Schizosaccharomyces pombe: one gene and its partners. The protein of the gene in region 3 interacts with the protein of the main gene of each other region in a pairwise test. Each region holds a gene or a part of one and is shown on either strand. Other genes may lie near its edges. The genes, in order: pds5, bir1 and sgo2.

Evidence for each region.
Region 1: the proteins of sgo2 (region 3) and pds5 interact in a two-hybrid assay, tested with the Schizosaccharomyces pombe proteins (one study listed by BioGRID).
Region 2: the proteins of sgo2 (region 3) and bir1 interact in binary tests that used the Schizosaccharomyces pombe proteins (3 or more experiments, as listed by UniProt).

The regions. Positions count from the first base shown.
Region 1 is NC_003424.3:1,909,754-1,917,070, forward strand, and holds pds5 (mitotic and meiotic cohesin loader subunit Pds5), read left to right. Parts: upstream 1-2,094; 5' UTR 2,095-2,288; coding exon 2,289-5,906; 3' UTR 5,907-6,144; downstream 6,145-7,317. Other genes in the region: serine/threonine protein kinase Ppk1, read left to right, coding at 1-1,586; Rho family GTPase Cdc42, read left to right, coding at 6,355-6,402, 6,566-6,634, 7,065-7,317. UniProt on the Schizosaccharomyces pombe protein: Required for the establishment and maintenance of sister chromatid cohesion during S phase. Prevents their formation until eso1 is present. May also have a role during meiosis.
Region 2 is NC_003421.2:544,829-551,830, reverse strand, and holds bir1 (survivin Bir1), read left to right. Parts: upstream 1-2,531; 5' UTR 2,532-2,682; coding exon 2,683-2,811; exon of another isoform or gene 2,812-2,858; coding exon 2,859-5,723; 3' UTR 5,724-6,026; downstream 6,027-7,002. Other genes in the region: importin alpha family nuclear import signal receptor adaptor Cut15, read left to right, coding at 1-1,358; tricalbin, C2 domain protein (phospholipid binding) ER-plasma membrane tethering protein Tcb1, read right to left, coding at 6,087-7,002. UniProt on the Schizosaccharomyces pombe protein: Component of the chromosomal passenger complex (CPC), a complex that acts as a key regulator of chromosome segregation and cytokinesis.
Region 3 is NC_003424.3:3,711,342-3,717,292, reverse strand, and holds sgo2 (shugoshin Sgo2), read right to left. Parts: upstream 3,152-5,951; 5' UTR 3,107-3,151; coding exon 3,070-3,106; exon of another isoform or gene 3,032-3,069; coding exon 2,992-3,031; exon of another isoform or gene 2,942-2,991; coding exon 2,709-2,941; exon of another isoform or gene 2,666-2,708; coding exon 2,598-2,665; exon of another isoform or gene 2,546-2,597; coding exon 980-2,545; 3' UTR 708-979; downstream 1-707. Other genes in the region: bud6 (actin-interacting protein 3), read right to left, coding at 1-487; protein kinase domain and HEAT repeat protein Ppk3, read right to left, coding at 3,533-3,914, 3,974-4,146, 4,197-4,325, 4,366-5,226, 5,279-5,380, 5,432-5,572, 5,622-5,747. UniProt on the Schizosaccharomyces pombe protein: Involved in chromosome cohesion during mitosis and meiosis by preventing premature dissociation of cohesin complex from centromeres after prophase, when most of cohesin complex dissociates from chromosomes arms.

The DNA of each region.
Region 1 (7,317 bases), 1.8 Mb from region 3:
GGACAATCGGTACCGGCGAGTTTGGAAAGGTTAAACTTGGCTGGCCTTTACCAAAAGCCAATTCTACTATTCACCGCTCAACACCGCAAGTTGTAATTAAAATAGTTTTGTCTACGAAGCAAAACTGTCAAACAAGCCGATTGATGCGAGAGGTGGCCATTTTAAAAGGTTTGGGTAATAATCACCCCCATATTGTAAAATATTTGGATTTTGTAAAAACTAAACATCATTTTGGTATAGTACTAGACTATGTTAATGGTGGTGAACTTTTTGATTATATACTGGCGCGCCGAAGACTTGAAGATTCGGTTGCTTGCCGACTGTTCGCACAATTAATAAGTGGTGTTGCCTATTTACATTCTCGAGGAGTGGTACATAGAGATCTGAAGTTGGAGAATATATTGCTAGATACTAATCGAAATATCGTAATTGCGGATTTCGGCTTTGCGACTACTTTTGGGCACTTTAATACTCTCAGTGAACACTCATTGCCCACGGAAAAGCCAGATTTATTTAGTACATCATGTGGATCGCCTTGTTATGCGGCCCCTGAATTAGTGAATTGCAAGTCTGGAATGTATGCTGGCACACAAGCAGATATTTGGAGTTGCGGTGTCATTTTATATGCAATGTTGGCTGGGTATCTACCATTTGACGATGATCCACACAATCCAAATGGAGAAAATGTCCCTCGACTCTATCGGTATATTTGCAGTACTCCTTTAATATTTCCGGAGTTCTTTAAAAGCAAAGCTCGCGACATTCTTAAAAAAATTTTAGTTCCTGATCCAGCAAAACGTGTCCGAATGTCAGCAATTATGAATCACGCATATCTCCGGTCTCATGTGTCTCTATTTGAAACGTATAACGATGATGAAGCGACCTCACTGCGTCCGTCTCCCATCCGTTTGCTTTCTCAAAAATCTTTAGCTAGTGTTTCTTCAGTTTCGTCAATCAGCACTTACTCTTCTTCCATTGAATTGACTCCTCAGATCACAAAAACTTCATTAAATCGAGAAAAACCGGCATTACATGGCAGCATCAATCTTAAACACTCAACGAGGCCGGTTGTACCAATTGCAGATGGTATCTATGCTTCTACTACTCTTCATCCAATCGATAATGCTAAAAACCGCTTGGTTTCTTTACTGCGCCGTCCCAAGCATAAGGTTAAGCATGCCAAAGTTGAAACACGTGAATCTCCTATGAAAAATAAGCCAACTAAGAAACAACACAAGCGTGCATTTAGCATGTTTGAGAGGCCCACTTCTCAGAAAGCCCCATTGTCACCAGTAGAAAGCAAGATTAACCTTATGGTTGCTCCTAAACGTGTATTAAATTGTGCTTCAGATTCTTTAAGAGCTTTATTAGCAGGAAAGACGGATAAATCTTTTTGGGGTTCACGTATACCATTCTTGTTTAATAAATTGAAATCCAAACAGAAGGCTGTATCCAGCTCCTTCAATACGGAAAACTCATTTTTAATTCTTCAAGCAGTTTCGCCTTTAACTTTTGGAGGTTGTTTCAAAGAAGAAAACGCGTATGGGCAGAAGAAGCAGCACATGAGACACGCTACCGTTTTTTAATGTTTGCGTTACGATATTGTATATCTCAACAATGCATGATAATTATCAAACTGCCTGTTTCCTATATTAGTTTTTTAAAAAGATGGCTCTTCGACTTTTTCTTAAGAAAAGCGGTTTATATGGTTATCAATTATTAAAGCTTGAATTGATTGTTTGACAATGTTGAACAATGGGTTTCCTAAAAAAAGACGCTTTAGCTGATTTTTATCGTTTATCAGCGTGTATATTACTTGCCTTGTACTTTACAGTTTCCGCTTTTCATCTTTATTCTAACTTTTTATTTTAATTTTTAATTTTTTGGTACAAGCACCTTTCGTTCTTTAAACTACTTTTAAACTATTAAATTTCTTTCACTCATATGTCCTTATATCTAATTCACTCGTTAATAATATTTTATCATTACCCTTGAGTTATACTTATTAGTAAATAGTGTAATATTTTAATTACAATAAATGGAACGCGTTCTTTTACGCGTCTCTTCTTTAAGCAAGTACATTGCGAGTCTAACACGAACGTAATAAAGAGTTGAGCACCACATTTTGAAATCGCATCTTTCAAGCTTCAATATTGCGAAGTACTAATTAATAAAATCAGCCTATGGCTCTTATGGATATAGAGCATTGAAAGTTTACTGCATTTGTCATTTATTTGTTAAATACCCAAGGTGAATAGTACAAAAGCGTGCAAAAGCCAACTTTTGCGATGATAAAGTTACAGTTTCAAAGAAACATTGTCCCAACACATGACAATCCGTTAACGACTTCCGAGATTTTAAAACGACTACGTGATTTACTAGGAGAGCTTACTAGCCTATCCCAAGATACTATCGACCGTGACTCAGTATTGCCAGTAGCACGATCATTAGTAAATAACAATTTGCTCCATCACAAAGATAAAGGGATACGCTCTTATACACTTTGTTGTATTGTTGAATTGCTTCGTTTATGTGCCCCCGATGCGCCCTTCACTTTATCACAATTGGAAGATATTTTCCAAGTAATTCTCAAAATTCTTAGTGGTCTTATGAATCAAGAATCTACTTATTATCCACAAATTTACGAGATATTAGAGAGTTTGTCGAACGTTAAATCTGCAGTTCTAATAGTTGATCTCCCGAATGCTGAAGAATTCTTAGTAAATATCTTTCGTCTCTTCTTTGATTTAGCGAGAAAGGGTACTACCAAGAATGTCGAGTTTTACATGCTTGATATTATTAACCAGTTGATCAATGAGATTAACACCATTCCTGCTGCTGCCTTGAACATACTATTTGCTCAACTAATATCAGGAAAGGGCGTAAGGCAAACAATTGGCTCTTCCGATTCTACTAATCACGGTCCAGCTTTTCAACTAGCGAGAAATATTTTTCATGACTCAGCAGATCGACTACAAAGATATGTTTGCCAGTATTTCTCAGATATTATATTCGATTCAAGAGATTCGCTTTCTGACTCCATGACTACTCCAGAATTTATATTCTCGCACAATTTAGTTTTACAATTATGGAAATATGCACCAACCACGTTATTGAACATTATTCCACAATTCGAAAATGAATTGCAAGCTGAACAAACTAGTGTGCGACTTGTGGCGATAGAAACTGTTGGTTTGATGCTCCAAGACAACGCCATATGGTCCGATTATCCTAGGGTATGGAGTGCATTTTGTGGTCGGCTCAATGATAAATCAGTTGCATGTCGTATCAAATGCATTGAAGTTGCTTCCAACGCTCTTCAGAATTCATTGGCTACTTCTGAGATAATTGAAAACGTAGTTCAAATGCTTCAATCAAAGTTGGCCGACACGGATGAAAAGGTGCGGGTTGCTACTCTTAAAACGATCGAACAGTTGACTTTCGAAACCTTTAAAATGCAATTTTCAGTACAGGCTTTGAAACTCATGGGTGACCGTTTACGTGATCGTAAACTCAATGTTCGTTTACAAGCAATTCGGACACTAAGTCAAATTTATAATAGAGCATATCAAGACCTTATAGATGGTGTGGAATACTCAATACAGATGTTCAGCTGGATCCCTTCATCTCTTTTGGAAGTATTTTATGTTAATGATGAAACAACTAATGCGGCTGTTGAAATTTGTATGGCTGAACTGGTCCTACAATACCTTAGTTCTGATACGCAAACAAGGTTAAACAGGCTTTTCCTTTCAATAAAGTATTTTAGTGAAAAAGCGATGCGAGTTTTTATTCTACTTTTACAAAGACAAGTTAAGTATTCGGAACTCTTAAATTACTACATTGAGTGCTGCAAAAATTACAATGGAGGTGTTATGGATAATGATGAAGAGTCAATTACCAACAAGCTTAAGAAGGTGATTGATATCATATCATCAAAAAGTTCTAATCCTACATTAACAGAAGCCACTTTCAGAAAATTTGCGGAACTTAATGATCGTCAAAGCTACAAAATGCTTTTACAAACGTTTTCCATTAAAAGTGAATATCAAGTTGTTTTAAAAAGCATAAAATATTTATTTAAAAGGGTTTCTGAAACGTTGAGTACCGCAAGTCTTGAATGTTTTAGAATATTCGTTTACCGTTCAGCTCTGTTTGCTTTTAATAAAAGCAACGTGCATGAAATAATTCAATTATTAAATGAACCTGTAAAATACCACAATTTCCTTAAGCCGTCGGAGGCTCTTTTACAGCATTTACCGCTAATTCATCCCAACATATATGGAGAGGTTGTTATAGAAGTTGAAAATATTATAGTTTCTTCGGGCATTGAATCGGATCCTAAAGTAATTAAAGCTCTTTCCCAATTCTCCAAAAGAAAAAAAAATTTTTCTATACAAACAACAACTGCTGAAATACTACGAAAGTTGTGTCTACATGGAACACAGGAACAAGCCAAACAGGCAGCGACGATTATCGCTATAACGGAGACGAAAGAATTCAAACTCGATATGATAACGAATATCGTGGAAAATTTGGAGTATAATGGAGGACTTCCTGTACGGCTTATGACTTTAGGACAACTATTTCTATACACTTTAGAAGAGGTAGAGAAGGTTGCTGACCAAGTTACAGAATTTTTAGTAAAAAAAGTTATACAGCGCTTTCCTGAAAAATATGATGATACGCATAATGATGAGGAATGGTGTACTTACGAAAAATTAGATAATCTTACCATGTGCAAAGTTTTAGCAATTAGGGTTTTGGTTAATCGACTGAGGGCGGCGGCAGGAGGAACCGAAGCGTTAAATATTGGAGCTCCTATCATTAAGCTATTGAAAGTATTGTTAATGGCTGACGGTGAATTAAGTCCGTTCAAGAATACTCCCAAAATTTCTCGTGCTTATTTACGTCTCACTGCTAGCAAATATTTTTTAAAGTTATGTTCCATTCCTTTTTATGCGGAACATATAGATTTTAGTTCTTACGTTCAAATCTCCTTATTATGCCAAGATGAAAATTTTGACGTGAGAAATTTATTTTTGACGAAGCTTCAGAAGCAGCTGCAACTTAAAAAGTTGCCAATTAGTTATTATCCTTTATTGTTCCTGACTGCTGTTGATCCGGAAGAGGAGATCAAGACTAAAGCGTCTATATGGATACGTTCTCAGGTTGCTTTTTTCCAGAAAACCCATGATTTTACCATGGAATATGTAGCAACATATCTTATCCATCTTCTCTCTCACCATCCAGACATATCTTCGATAGAATCAGAGAACTCGCTTGATTTTATTGCATACATTCGCTTTTACGTTGACACTGTTGTTAATAGTGAGAACGTCCCAATCGTTTTTCATCTAATGCAACGCATAAAACAAAGCTATGATGTTATTGAAGATGGAAACAATTACATTTATGTGCTAAGCGACATGGCTCAGAAAATATTGCAGGTGAAATCCCAGAACTTTGGATGGAGTTTGACTACGTATCCAAAGCAAATTAAATTACCTTACGAAATTTTAAGACCAATTCCCTCTATAGATGAGAAAAAGAGAATTTTCAATAAAATCTTCATAACGCCTAAAATGGAAAGTCAGATTGAACATGCTATAAGGACACCAGTCTCATCTTTTGCGAAACAGACTACCAATAAGCACGCAAATTTGAAGCAAAAGAAGACTCATAGCTCAAAGAGCGATAAAAAATCGTCTAGAAGAAGGAAAAACGAAAAAAGGAGAAAGCTAAATGAGCAGAATCCTAATATTAGGAACGTGCCAGAACGAAGTAGCTCAAGATTTCAAGGGATTCGTATAAATTATTCGGAAGCACCGTCTTCAAGTGAGGAGATAAGCGAAGAAGAGGAGGAAATTAGCGAAGAAGATTTTGATGAAATAGAGGATTTATAAAAAAGGCTTATTTGGATGCGAAATACCGATACTAGAACACTTACCCAATATTACCAATGAATTTTCAATGTTAATTAGATAAATTGCTATCTTTTTTGTTAAACAATCTATGCTTGCTAATTGCCTAAACTTTTGAAAGATGACTCCATCACATACATGCCTCCATAACTTCTGCATCTATTAATTTTTTTCATTCCTAGTAATATAATAATAAAAGTTGCATTTTTGAGTTTTTTTACGCTTTACAATTCGTAAAATCTAATAGTGAGATTGGATTAGCCGCTGTAGTATATCTTAATAAAGCATGGCTGGGCGAACTAATTACGGTGACCGCACAATATATTTACCTACAACCAACACCGGTGTTTGATACTTAGGGGTTTGAACTTTCTAGGAATTCAATAAAGTGAAGCAAAGCTTTACGATTAATTATTTTTTGTGAAATAGTATGCCCACCATTAAGTGTGTCGTAGTAGGAGACGGTGCTGTAGGAAAGGTGAGTTGATGTTTACGGAAGGTGAAGTTAAGCAATGCATAAAAAAATACAAGAATTGCTATCATCTAAAATGAAGTTTCTTTTGTCTATACATTCCCCTTTATTTCTTTCTTTCCAAAAATTGTTCTTTTGAGTTTTACACATACTGACCGTTTGAATGTAGACCTGTCTGCTTATTTCCTATACTACAAACAAGTTTCCTAGTGACTATGTGCCAACTGTATTCGATAATGTAAGTATAATTAGTTGTTTATGGAATGAAGTACTTGGTGAAGTTTTGTCCCCATATTAGAAATTTTTTACTATTCAAATGTTCGGTCACGGAAAATTTTGATATAAGGCTTTTTGTCAAAAAAAGGCTGAAGGATTAAACAATGACTCAATGTATTTATCGATTTTATCTCAGAAACTATTGAAAGTTTAATAATTTTTTTTTATCCGATGCTTTTTTTTTTCCACACTAGATCTAAAGACCGTAGGAAGCCTTATCTCGTAAGGAATAAGATGAGGCGACCACTTTCTTTCCCAGGAAGATTTGGTCGTTATTATTTCTGCTATTTGCTATATTGGGGACTATTCTAACTTTCTTGTTGCTTTTACTCCCGTTTTTAATTGATATAGCTGATTTTCATTTTATAGTAAAGATTTACTGACTAAAATAGTATGCTGTCACTGTCATGATCGGTGATGAACCATACACTCTTGGTTTATTCGATACCGCTGGTCAGGAGGATTATGATCGCTTGCGTCCTTTATCCTATCCTCAAACAGACGTCTTTTTGGTTTGTTTTAGTGTAACTTCTCCTGCCAGTTTTGAAAATGTGAAAGAAAAGTGGTTTCCCGAAGTTCATCATCATTGTCCGGGCGTCCCGTGCTTAATTGTTGGTACCCAAATTGATTTACGTGATGACCCTT
Region 2 (7,002 bases), on a different chromosome or scaffold from region 3:
ACATAGAGGCACAAATTCAAGCTACTGCCAAGTTTCGAAAGGCTTTGTCTAAGGAGACAAACCCACCAATTCAAAAAGTTATTGATGCAGGCGTTGTCCCCCGCTTCGTCGAATTTTTATCTCATGAGAACAATTTATTAAAATTTGAGGCTTCTTGGGCTCTCACTAATGTGGCTAGCGGATCTTCCAATCAAACACACGTGGTTGTAGAAGCAAATGCTGTTCCTGTTTTTGTAAGCCTTTTATCTTCTTCTGAACAAGATGTACGCGAGCAAGCAGTTTGGGCATTAGGTAACATTGCTGGTGATTCACCCATGTGTCGTGATCATGTTTTGCAATGTGGAGTTTTGGAGCCTTTGCTTAACATAATCGAATCTAACAGGCGTCTTAGTATGCTCCGCAATAGTACTTGGACCCTGTCTAATATGTGCCGAGGCAAAAATCCACAACCCGATTGGAACAGCATTTCGCAAGTTATCCCTGTTCTGTCGAAATTAATTTATACCTTAGACGAAGATGTTTTAGTTGATGCCCTTTGGGCCATTTCCTATTTATCTGATGGCGCTAATGAGAAGATCCAAGCCATCATTGATGCAGGGATTCCTCGTAGGCTTGTTGAACTTTTAATGCATCCTAGCGCTCAAGTACAGACTCCTGCTCTCCGATCCGTAGGAAATATTGTTACAGGAGATGACGTTCAGACCCAGGTCATCATTAATTGTGGTGCTTTAAGTGCTTTACTTTCTTTGTTAAGCAGTCCACGCGATGGCGTTCGTAAGGAAGCCTGTTGGACAATTAGTAATATAACGGCCGGTAATTCTTCTCAAATTCAATATGTTATTGAAGCTAACATTATTCCTCCTTTAATTCATCTCCTTACGACCGCTGACTTTAAAATCCAAAAGGAAGCCTGCTGGGCCATTTCCAATGCCACATCCGGTGGCGCTCGTCGTCCCGACCAAATTCGCTACCTTGTAGAGCAAGGCGCAATCAAACCTTTATGTAATTTGCTGGCTTGTCAAGATAACAAGATTATCCAGGTTGCTTTAGATGGTATTGAAAATATTTTGCGAGTGGGTGAACTTGATCGCGCGAATAACCCTGATAAAATCAATTTATACGCCGTCTACGTTGAGGATGCTGGTGGTATGGATTTGATCCACGAATGTCAGAACTCATCTAATTCGGAAATTTACCAAAAAGCTTACAATATTATCGAAAAGTTTTTCGGTGAAGAAGACGAAATCGAAGAGCTTGAACCAGAAACCGTCGGTGATACGTTTACATTTGGAACTACACAAGAGCCTGCCGGCGATTTTCAATTTTCGGCGACTAATGCCGAAGATATGGCTATGTAATGATACTTCACATACATTATTCATTTATGCTTGTTTAGGTTTCGTTCTTTTTTAGATTGTTCATTTTCATAAACATCGAAGTGGCTTCATGATTTTGGCTGTGGTCCTGTGGTTTATAATATCGTTAAATTATTTCATTGAGCAATTGAGGATGCCGATTTTTTCATTTACCTTTACGTGTATGGCGCGATTGTTATTAGACGAGATTATTACATTTTAGGAGGTTTACCTAGACATACATTCCGCAGTTGTCACTCTTCTCATTTTGTTATATTGTTGTTTAATGATTGTGCTGGAAAGTTGAACATCTTGTACTTGTTAAATTATTTCTCAAGTCCGTCCTGAGTGTGCGTGTCGAAACGAACTTTTGTTTACTTTTTTTCATTCACTTTCTAACCAACGAATGGTTTATAGATCGTGGTTATTTTGTGAGTTTATTATTTGTTTTATTGACGAAACACAGGAATCATTCAACAGTTTTGGTCTTTGTTGTCGATTTAGTTGTAGCTTTTGGCTGCTCCACTACTAGATACAGGTTTTGTACCTTTGAAACAACATGGGACTAATTCAATTAATTTATTTTACATTGTCTTCATGATTGTACTTCCTCTATTGCTTAACTTTTATTTGAGGTTTTAGGAAGTTCAATATTTCCACCGCATTTGTCATCCTCTTTTCAACTTTTTTCTAATGAGACAGCTGATTCATCATTGTATTCATAACTTTGACCATCGCATCGAAAGAGGAAAATGAAATCAGATTTGTCTTGTTGATATGCATAGTTTCCTTTGAATAGCCATGAAAATGTAGCCTTATTCTTCTTTCACGATGCTCCATACTTTAGAGTTGGAGCTTTAATATTATTATATGTAACAATATTAGTACCAAACTATGATACATTACTTTGTGCTAGCAAAAATCTTCTAGTTAAATTTTGAATTTATTAACAAAGATCATAAGGCTGACATTAAAGACAATAATTGAATCTTCCTTACTCAATATAATATCTAAACCTAGTCATCTCGAAAAATTTGTAACCAGTGAACCTTCCATTTATTAAAGTCTGCTATACTACTTAACGACATTTTACGCAATATAACGACATTGTTCAATTACAGTAAACTCGTGTGCCCTAGCAATCTACAAAAAGTAAACATTACCCATATACGCCTTGCGAGGCGACCTTCCCTATCCTATGCATTTGGAAGTATCTGATATTGTCTAAAGACAATAACCAGAAGTTTTAAAAAAATTAATTTTATAGTTTTAAGGATCGGAAGTCGAAATTTGGTATCTAAATTTCACTTGTTGAAGCTTGCTCAGAATGAAACCGATAACGTCTTCTTCTAAACGCCGATGGAATCGGTTTCGAAGGGAAATGTGTAATTACTCTAAACGACTTGACACTTTCCAGAAAAAAAAATGGCCGCGAGCCAAACCGACGCCAGAAACTGTATGTTGACGATAGAGTTTTCATCTGTGTTGCTAACAAGAAAATAGCTTGCTACTGTCGGTTTCTATTACAATCCAATCTCTGAATCTAATTCTGAAGAAAGACTTGATAATGTTACATGCTATATGTGTACCAAGTCATTTTATGACTGGGAGGATGATGATGATCCATTGAAAGAGCATATTACTCATAGCCCCAGCTGTCCATGGGCATATATTTTATCCTCAAAAAACAATCCAAACCAGAACCCCCAAGCTGCAGCTCTCACAAAATGTCGAGAACAAACTTTTGTTGATAAAGTATGGCCGTATACCAATCGCCCTGATTATCACTGTGAGCCGAGTGTAATGGCTGCTTCTGGTTTTGTATACAATCCAACTGCTGATGCTAAAGATGCAGCTCATTGCTTATATTGTGATATTAATCTTCATGATTGGGAACCGGATGATGACCCTTACACCGAGCACAAACGCCGTCGTGCGGACTGTGTGTTTTTTACATGGAAAGACCCAAATAGCTTATCTCCTACTAAACTGTCTTTTTTATCTACGTCGAACATTGACCCTGAAGACTTGACCGAGGATAATTCCATTCTTCCCGTTTCTCCCACCCGAGATTCAACAAAATCTCATAAAACTTTAAATTTCTCCCCTAGTAGAAAGAATAATCTTAATGCACGTCCTTTAACAATGTCCCTTTATACTAATACCTCTGAGGAGAAAGACTCACAACCCACCCGTGCACCACAAAGTCCAACGAAGCCCGTTTTACTTACGGCTCCAAGGCGAAAAAATAAATCTCCAAAAAAATCAAAGCCAGCAGTCTTTAAACCTGTTAAGCCAATTTTTTCTGATGAAGACGAAGATGACGACGACTTGACCGCCTCTCAACCCTTCTCTAAAGGGATATGTAATGACTCTATGCAAGTAGCCAAAAAGAATTTTACAGAAGAAATTCCACTTAAAGAAGATGAAAAAGATAATGAGCTGGAACATCTTGTATCACCAGCTACATCCGTCCACACAACTGTTTCTGACATAACTGGACATCAATCTGTAACTGATGAAAGTGATGAGCAAAATAATTGTATGTCTACGCCGCCGAAAATTGAAATCGAATCAAAAATTGAAGAAGAAATATCTGTGGTTTCCAAATCAAAGGAAATTTCGTCTTCTGTTTCTTCTGTTGGTAAAGAGCAAAATCATACAGAAAAACAAGTTGCTATCGAAACTCCGGAACAGCAGAAGGTTGAAAAAGAAGATGAGCATTTAAATCTTCAAGGTTCGTTCATAGAGGAGTCCACAAAACAACCAATCTCTTCAAAGCCATCAACTTCATCTCCCGATATGACTGATGCTGCAACAGGAGGTAGAGTGTCTTCTTCAAGCTTCAGAGATAAAATATTACAAACCAATTTTTCACCAAGGAGTACAATAGATTCGTTTAGCAACATTTCAAAAAAGAGAAACTCGGAAGAAGCAAATGATGAAAATGACGAGACCAATTTGAAAATACCAATTCCTGAAAAGAAGAGAAAATTTCAAGAAGTTTTACAATCTAAAAACATTTTAGTTTCGTCTACTGAGGATTCACATGAACCAGTAAAAGTTACAGAGGACAGCCAAACTGCCATTCACGTTAGTAAATTTGAGGATCTTGAGAATAAGAGTATGGAGTCTGAACAGTCACTACAATTGCTTTCTGAATCTGAAAATGATGACAAACCTTTAATTGATCTAATTCCTCTCTTAGCAATTAAAAGGAAGGATAATCTTGTAAGCGGAGTTTTAGAGAAGGGAAAAAGTACCTCAACATCAAAAACAAAGTTTGATACATCAATAGTGGACTTTATAGAAAAACCAAAAACTGAAATTAGCGAAGTGCTTCCTGAGGAAAAAAGAAAGGCCATTTGCGATGAGTCCCAAACGGTTAGAGTTTCTATAGATAGAGGAGTGACCAAGACGAGAGACGTATCAAGTCCTGTTTCCGATGAAAAAAGTGAAAATGTTAATCATGAGGAAGCTAATTCTGGTCATACTGTCATGAATGTTCATTCAAGCCTGGATCCCCAGCCGATCGTACAACCCAATGAACTTGAATCAGGAAGTTACTTAAAGGATCTTCCTGACAGAAACGTCGGAAACTCCGAAAAAGTGACATTTCAAGAAGATGACATTAATTCTCCTAAGCTACAGAGCAAGAACAATCAAACCGTTGAAGCTGTTAATACAGAAACTTCTGATAAATTGCAAGAAAAGGAGGCCAACCATGAATTAGAAAATATTGAAAAGATTGAAGAAAAATTGACTGAGGTAGACAAAGTCTCGTTAAGTGATGCTTTTCCTGATCAAGAAATCAAAAATTCTAGGACTTCTGTACAGAATGGTACTAGATCAGTGTCGAAAAATACACCTGAGAAGGAAACGAAGGTAGATAAAATCGATAATGTAAGTAAAAAGGATGTTGAAACTTCACCTGGTTCTTGTGAAACCTCTTCAGCTTTCGCTAAAACTTACGCTGAGAAAGAAGTAACGAGTATAAATTTGCCAAGTGTCCGGAAGCCTTTAGATGAATCCTACTATGACCATTCGATCAGTCCATTTGATCCATTGTGCCAATCTTCATTTTTGGCTCCTCAAACTCCTGTCAAATCAAAACATGCTTTGCCCTTAGTTGAAGCAAATGCACCACCATGGGAACCCATAGATTTCTCGAGTCTATTAGAATCTCCAGTACCGAATCCTGTAGAGCCAAACAAACTAAGTGAAAAAGAACTGGATATGACCGTTGAGCAGTGGATTAAATTTATGTATGCTAAATGTGCAAAAGAGTTTGAAGAAGCCTGTGAAGAAAAAATAGAATGGTTACTGGAAGAAGGTAAGCGGGCGGAAGAATACATACAAAACTTATAATTTTACATATTGTGTTTCTGTATTTATGGACCGTCTCGCTTTAAGCGAAAATGTTGGCGGGCTACATTTTAAAGTAATGTGAACTAAATTTGTCTGAATGCACTGTCAGCGTCCTTTTCTTTCTTTTTCTTTTATGTTTCTTGTTTTGTTAATCGGATCCTCTTATTATCTGTATTTATATCAACACTACGCTAATCTGGTGATGTAGTCTTAATAATTCTTCTTATAGTATTTATTTTTTTGGCAGCACAATATACAAATATGGTACTATATTTGAGTCAATATGAATAGAATGAATTAAACAACAAGATAGTGAAAGTAAAGTATAACGAACGTTGAAAAGAACCGGAAGCATTACCCATACTACTCAGCTTCGACCTTAATTTCAACAGAAGATGAACCACCAATTACAACCCTAAATGTACCAATAGCATCTTCTTGAAATACCGCTTCACCCAGTTTAGTATGTCCAAGCAAGTTGGAAGTAACGGCTGAAATTCGAAGTTCGTCACCCAAACTCCATTTGACCGGAATCTCTTCGTTCCATGAGGGAGACGGGCCTTTCCGAGATTTGGTTTTAAAGCTGTGGTCTTGATTGTCTGTAACGATAATCTTTATAGTCTTATGAGGCATATTTTTACCTTGACCAACGTATACTTTATACTTTTTCTGTGCCAATTCAGGTGCTCCCGTAGTCTTGTCAATAGTGCTAGTTAAGGCAGCGTTTGCAGACTCAGGTGCAATAGCCGGTGGCACAGAAGCAGAAGAAGAAGCTTCCTGGGTTGTCGTGAGATCAGAGCGAGATGGATTCTTTTCCAAGGAACGCCTAAACATGCCCATTTTGGAAATTCCTTTTGCGCCCGAAATTATATGTTTACCAGTTCCAGTGACTCCATCAGCAACCCCCGTTACAGCTTTACTACCTACCGAGCCAATAGTAGTAACACCTGCGAGAGCTAAACCTCCAGCAGCTCCTACGCCGCCAACTACTAATTTAGCTCCCTTATTAGCAGCGTGTAAGAAATTATCTGCTAGTGTGACATCCAGTACTGCTTTGCGACGATGCCATCCAGGTACAAAGCGCAAAGATGCATTGATTGTACCAGTCTTTGAGTCCAACTTAATCGATTGCTGAGACTCAACGTTCGGTTCAAGCGATAACAAATCAATATTACTCGTTCCCAAAACATCTGGTTTTTCACCCATGTCCCAATCATAACAAACCAATTCCAAAACATCCAAAACTCGATTTTGCACTACAATGTCAGCCTCTTCATTC
Region 3 (5,951 bases):
GGAGGTGCATAACCAGCTCCCTTACGTTAGGAAGATTGGTCTCCAAAGCATCAGAAGATGGTGTTTTTTCCAGTGTTTGCTCTAGGACTGATCTGAGTTCTAGCGGAAAATCATTTAAATCTGCAGTTTCAATACCAGCTTCATGAAAGGACTTGGTTGTCTGAAGGAATTCCCCTATTAGAGTAACATAAACGGATGAAACAGCACTATCATTAACTGTACCTTTGCTCCAGTTTGTTAAGCTTTCAAGAAGCTCCTTTGTTACAACTAAAAGCTTCATTATCGATGTCTCGATTGTACTAATTAAATGAGACGCTGCATCTCTTGACAAAGGGCTGTTGGACGCGCCATTAGGTACAGGCTTCCGATTTGAGTCGGAAGGGACTAATCTTCGAGAAAAATTTGCTCGAGATTCAGTCTTTTGTCTTTGCATTGAATGATTGGAAGAAAAACGTTCACGAGACATATTATCGCCGTTATTAAACATTGGTCCCAATAGATGAGTAAAGCAATGATCCTAATCGCAAAAAAAGGATTGAAAGTTCAACTTAAACTTAAAACAATAAACATAAGAGAAAACACAAAACCAATTAGGTTTGTTATATACAAAACATAAGAATATTGACTTATTAGACTCAGTTGCGTAGGTTAGTACTTCCACCGAGGGCGATCGAGGTACACTAGAAATGGACTACTTGATGAATGTGCTAAGGTACATAGTAAATTGAATTTGTGAGGATTGCTAAGTAATTTTATAATATATTTACACACCTGTTTATTGTATTTAACTAACCAAACCATATATTTGTACATAACGTTAATGACAAGAACAAAATGTGAATAAACAAAGAAAGAAGTAATATGAAATACCAAAGGTTAACTCCCAAAATATTGACTTTTTATTTCAAATTGACGCATACCTCCACTTAAAAAATCTGAACCAACTAAACGATGTCGAAAGGTATTTAATTACATAATATTACAAATTAAGGGTTTCGGAGTTTTCAAGGGTTACTTCTGAAGTAGTGGGTGCTTCAGAAGTAATGTTTGCGGTTTCTGTTTTGGTAGCTGAATCATTCTCAGAGTTCTTAGGAGCACGTCTCGTTTTTTTAGCTTTTACATGATCTGAAGGTAAATCGAAATTCCGTCTTAATTTCGTCCTTAATCCAGGCAAAGCGTAATTAACCTTTTTCCGTTCCCTTCGGCTCCTTCCATCAGGTTTTTCATTTGGCTCATTGACTACTGTACTTTCTTCAGAAGTTTCTTGAATCCGAGCTTTTCTTCGCCTTTTCACTTTTGTTTCTCTTCGCGACTGAGTTTTCGTCACACGATCGTTCTCATTAGGGGATTTCAAATTCGTTACAGATGACAGAAGTTCCAAATTATTATAGGAGCCCGTATCGTTGGTAGCAAAGGAGCTACGTGACGGCTCAATTTCGTAAGGTCGATCTTCAGCATTCAATATTCCTTGTAGCGATGGCGGACGTAACGGAGAATTATTGGGATGGGCTATTGAAAATCCATTTGAAGATGGAGGTTCACTTGACAGTCTCATGGGAGGATTTCGAAAAAGTGTTAAAATTTCCCGCTCTTCGTCGGTAAAAGATTTAGGATTCAGTCCAATTTTGTTAGAGTCATTCATTATTTCTACAGAAAATTTTTCGTTCCCATTAGTGACAGAAGAGTCTACTAACCCGTTTATTTCCCTTGGAGTGTCTGTACGAGGAGATTCAGCAACAGTCATATTTGACAGAGAAGTCGTCGTAACCTGAGGCCCAACATTCTCTTGTGAAGTTAATGAATTATGCGCAGTATCTTCAGGCGCAAACTTCAACGATATGGAGCTATTTAAATTAGGATCTGAAATATGATGCCCATTTCGGTTACTTTTATTTGAAGATTGCACAAGAAGGACAGCAGAATCCAAAGAGTTTGCGCGATTGGGGCGACTATCGGTCTCCGATACATAACCGGTAACATTGGTAGCTGCAGAAGCCAGATTAATTTGTTTATTTTGAATGTCAACGTCCCATTTCCGTTTAGTGGGTGTACTTTGTATTACTGTATCAGATTGTATTCTGCTATGAAAATGAGCTTCTTGTGAACCCTCATTTTCTTCTTGAGCAACTCCATTTGCATTATCTTCTTCGGTTCTTCTTTGTGCAGCTGCTTGATTATTAATTTTGTTGGATAATGATTTTGGACTAACGATTTCGTATTCATGATTTTTTTCCTGAGGAGCAGAATCGATAGATTTATTTTCAGAAGTAACCGCTTCAACTCTATCTTCATTATTATTATTTACAGGTTTCGAATTGGATAGATTGTAAGGATTTTCAAAATCAGCTGGGAGGGCTTTGCCGGATTTTAGCTGAGGTGCTGATTGCGTGTCGGAAAAAACATTAGCTTCTCTTTTTTTTTGTTCATTTATAGCAGTTTCTCCGTCATCAATTATATTTTCATCCTCTATTCCACTTAAATTTCGTAAGGAAACATCATGCTGAGCTTGCTCAATTATTTCTTCGGTATCTTTCACGACGGATTCCTTTCAGACGTTAGATAAACATATCTGAAAAACATAATACGATTCAACTTACCTCGTCAAGGTCTTCAGAATCCGTATCGACATCGTAAGCTAAGTTAGCCTCCACTGGTTTGAAGGTGTCTGTGTTCAATTAGCTAAAAACGATATGAATTCAAACACGTACCTTGTATTTCTTGCTGACAAAGACTTAATTTTGATAAAAAATTATCTGTTTCTTCATGAAATCGATTAAGTAATGCAGCTAACTTTGTTTTGTTTTCTTCGTTTTCGTTTTGCACGGTTTCGAGTTGCTCTTCCAAGTTTATCGCTGTAGTCCTCAAATCGATATTTTCCGAAAGCAACCGTTCATTTTCTAACTGCAATTCTTTAATTCTAATTGATTGTGCCTTGCTTATTCTTTGTATGTGTTAATTAATTATTCAATTCCAACAAAAATGTATGCGTACCGTATAATTTCCTTATACTGTCGAATTTGCTTTTTTTTCACTAATTCATCAGTTGAGATTAATATAAGTATCACGTACAGTCTTCTACGTTCGGGGAAAGAGATGCTTTCGACATTATAAATAGAAAATCCCGATGTACTTCATTGACCACGTTCCCGGTGGAGGTTTAGTACTTAAACGCGGCTGTACAGCAGTATCATTATCAACAAGGTGTAGAGGTGCTGGATAGTCGAAGTACGAATTATTTGACTACTAATGATACACTCTTTGAAAAGAACATTAAAATCCTTTTACATTTACTATACTTTGAATTTACGAATAGATAGATAACTAAAGAAAGAACTACCATTCACTAATCCTTTCAGTGGTATTAATAAATGTTCAAAGAGAAAAATAATTAGCTATTAAAAATATTAATTATTAAAAATCAAGCTTGATTGAAATATGTCAAAACGAGTAGTACATGGAGTACTTAGTCGACATGTGATTTAGTCGTGAATTAATCTTGACCACGAAAAATTATTAATTAAATTCAATCAAATTATAACCCCCAACTTTCCTCTACGTTATTTTCTGTTTCCTCTTCGTCATTCCAGTTTTCCATCCAAGATTCGTCTATCTGTTCCTCTGTTTCAAAAAGAGGATTATTGAATTCATCCTTAGAGTTTTCAGTGTTTCCAACAACTCTACTTTTTGAATTTTTTTTTTCTTTTATTTCAGTGGTATCATTTTTTAACTCAAGCGACTCCTTTTTCATATCGATAGAAGGCGAAGGAGAAGCAGAAGATGAATGAATAAATTTGGACCAAAAAGAACCATTAAATTTTGCCGGTGCGGAAACATTTTCTTTTTCCCCTAAATTAAAGTTTTTTATACGGCTCAAAAATTGGTCAGTGACATCCTCAGCTGTTCTTCGTATTCCTCTAATAACGTCAAAAAGTTAGTAATTCCTAAGTGGTATACAGGTTCAAAAAAATCTTACTCGTTTTCATCAATTAGTAATGGCACCACCGATGGGAAAAGTTTGATGGCCACATCCTTTGTATCAAAGTAATTTTGAACTGAGAGGAGTACTTTTAAGGCTGCCTCTCTAGCAGGAACAAATGGGTCTTTAAGAGAACGTGATAAAGCAGCAGCTAAAACGGGTTTTCGCACCTAAATCTGTTAAAAATAAAGTCCTAACGTTTAGTTCTTCTTAGTCTTACGCTGGCATCTAAATATTCAGCAATTTTACCTAGACAAATGGTACTGTTGGTACGTAAAGTAGGATGTTGGTCATTTTGGACAACCGCTAAGCTTCGTAGTAGTTCATTATTCAATGTTTTCTTCGAAAGCTGTATACTAATTAGCAATTTGTAAGATAAGATGGCTTACTTTTGGTGCTATAATGGAAAAAACAACAATAGCATGTTCTTTTAAGGTGGGAGAATTGGAGCGCACAAGGTTCGCGAAAACTGAAAAGCTAGTGTCTTCATATATATTCTTTGGTAGCACGTCGGGATTGTTAATGATTCCGGAAAGTAGCAAGCCTCGTATGGGAACGCTTTGTTGTTTCAAAAGAGACAATAACGGTACTCCAAAGTCTTTTTCTATATCCGGTCTTCCTTTTACAATTTGAGCACATTTGAATAGAAGCTCAACGACGTCCGAATGGGTGTCAATCGATAATAGTAGAAAGAGGATGTTTAATACAACCTTTTGTATATAGTTTTTAGGAATTACTTCTAGCTTTGACGAAAGAAGTTGTTTTAATTTCACTCTATCTTCCTCTTCGTTTATTCGAACCTCGGACAAAAGTTCATATAACGTAATCAAATGTGTACGAAAAAACCCCCCAGGACGCTCGCCAAGTTTTAGAAATTCTGAAGCTAATAACTTTTGCTTTCCTTCCACATTCAACAGTTTTTTTGCAGAAACAAATATATTGGCTGGAATGTTTCCACGCTGAGATAAGTCCCCTGGCGTTCCATTATAAAGATGAGAAATGAACTTTCCCAATTCATAAGAATCCAAGTAAATGAATGAAGCACTATTTAATGTTGAAGACTGAATTTCAAACGGAACCAACCGACTCCAGTTCAGAATTTTGTCATGATTATCCTTTATAAATTGTGGTGAATCACCTGCTAAGAAAAAGTCGCCTATTATCCATTCATCTGCACTATTAAGATAAACAGAAGACATTTGAAGGTTTCCATGAACAATATTTTTATCATTGAGAAATGACAATGCAGCCTAAACACGTTTAAATTAGTTTTAATCCACATTTTGAACTCAAATTACATACCGAAACCCTCCAAAGGCCGTAAGTTTTTATTTCCGCAGATAGTTCATTCAGTTCAGTTGTGACAGGTCTTACAGTTTCCGTTGCAATGTACAAGTGAGTGGACTGAACTATTAGTAAATAGGAAAAATATGTAAAGGCTTAGATTAGACTTACGCTTTTATAAGTACTTAGATATTTGATTATACAAGGATGACGAAGGGTCTTCATTGTCTCACAAGCTCGGTCAGCAAGTTCAGCCCATTCAGGATGAGTTGACAGAGAAATAGAGAAAACGCTACACGGCTGGGCAGACTCCTACATTAAAATTGTAAGTACTAGAATAAAGAAAAGCGTTGTCTCTTACTCTAATTGATCCCGTTTGTAGTGTCCATACAGAATTAGAAGAAAGAGGGATTTTCTCATTTAAGTCATATGGGAATTGAGAACCTGCTTTTGCAATAAAAGAAGCTGCTGATTTTATAAAATCCATTATTTTAAAGTGTAGTAAGGGATCAACCTCTTTTAGTCGATTACCATCGAGTATTGATGCCGCAGTGTGGAGGTTGTTGTCCCACGCAAGCTAACCTGTAAAAGTGTTTTGAGGGGATGGGTACGGATTAAGAAGCAAAATTGGATTATTTACAGCTACTTAAGGTTTACAAAGACGACGTTAGTTTTGCAGTTTTTTTGAATG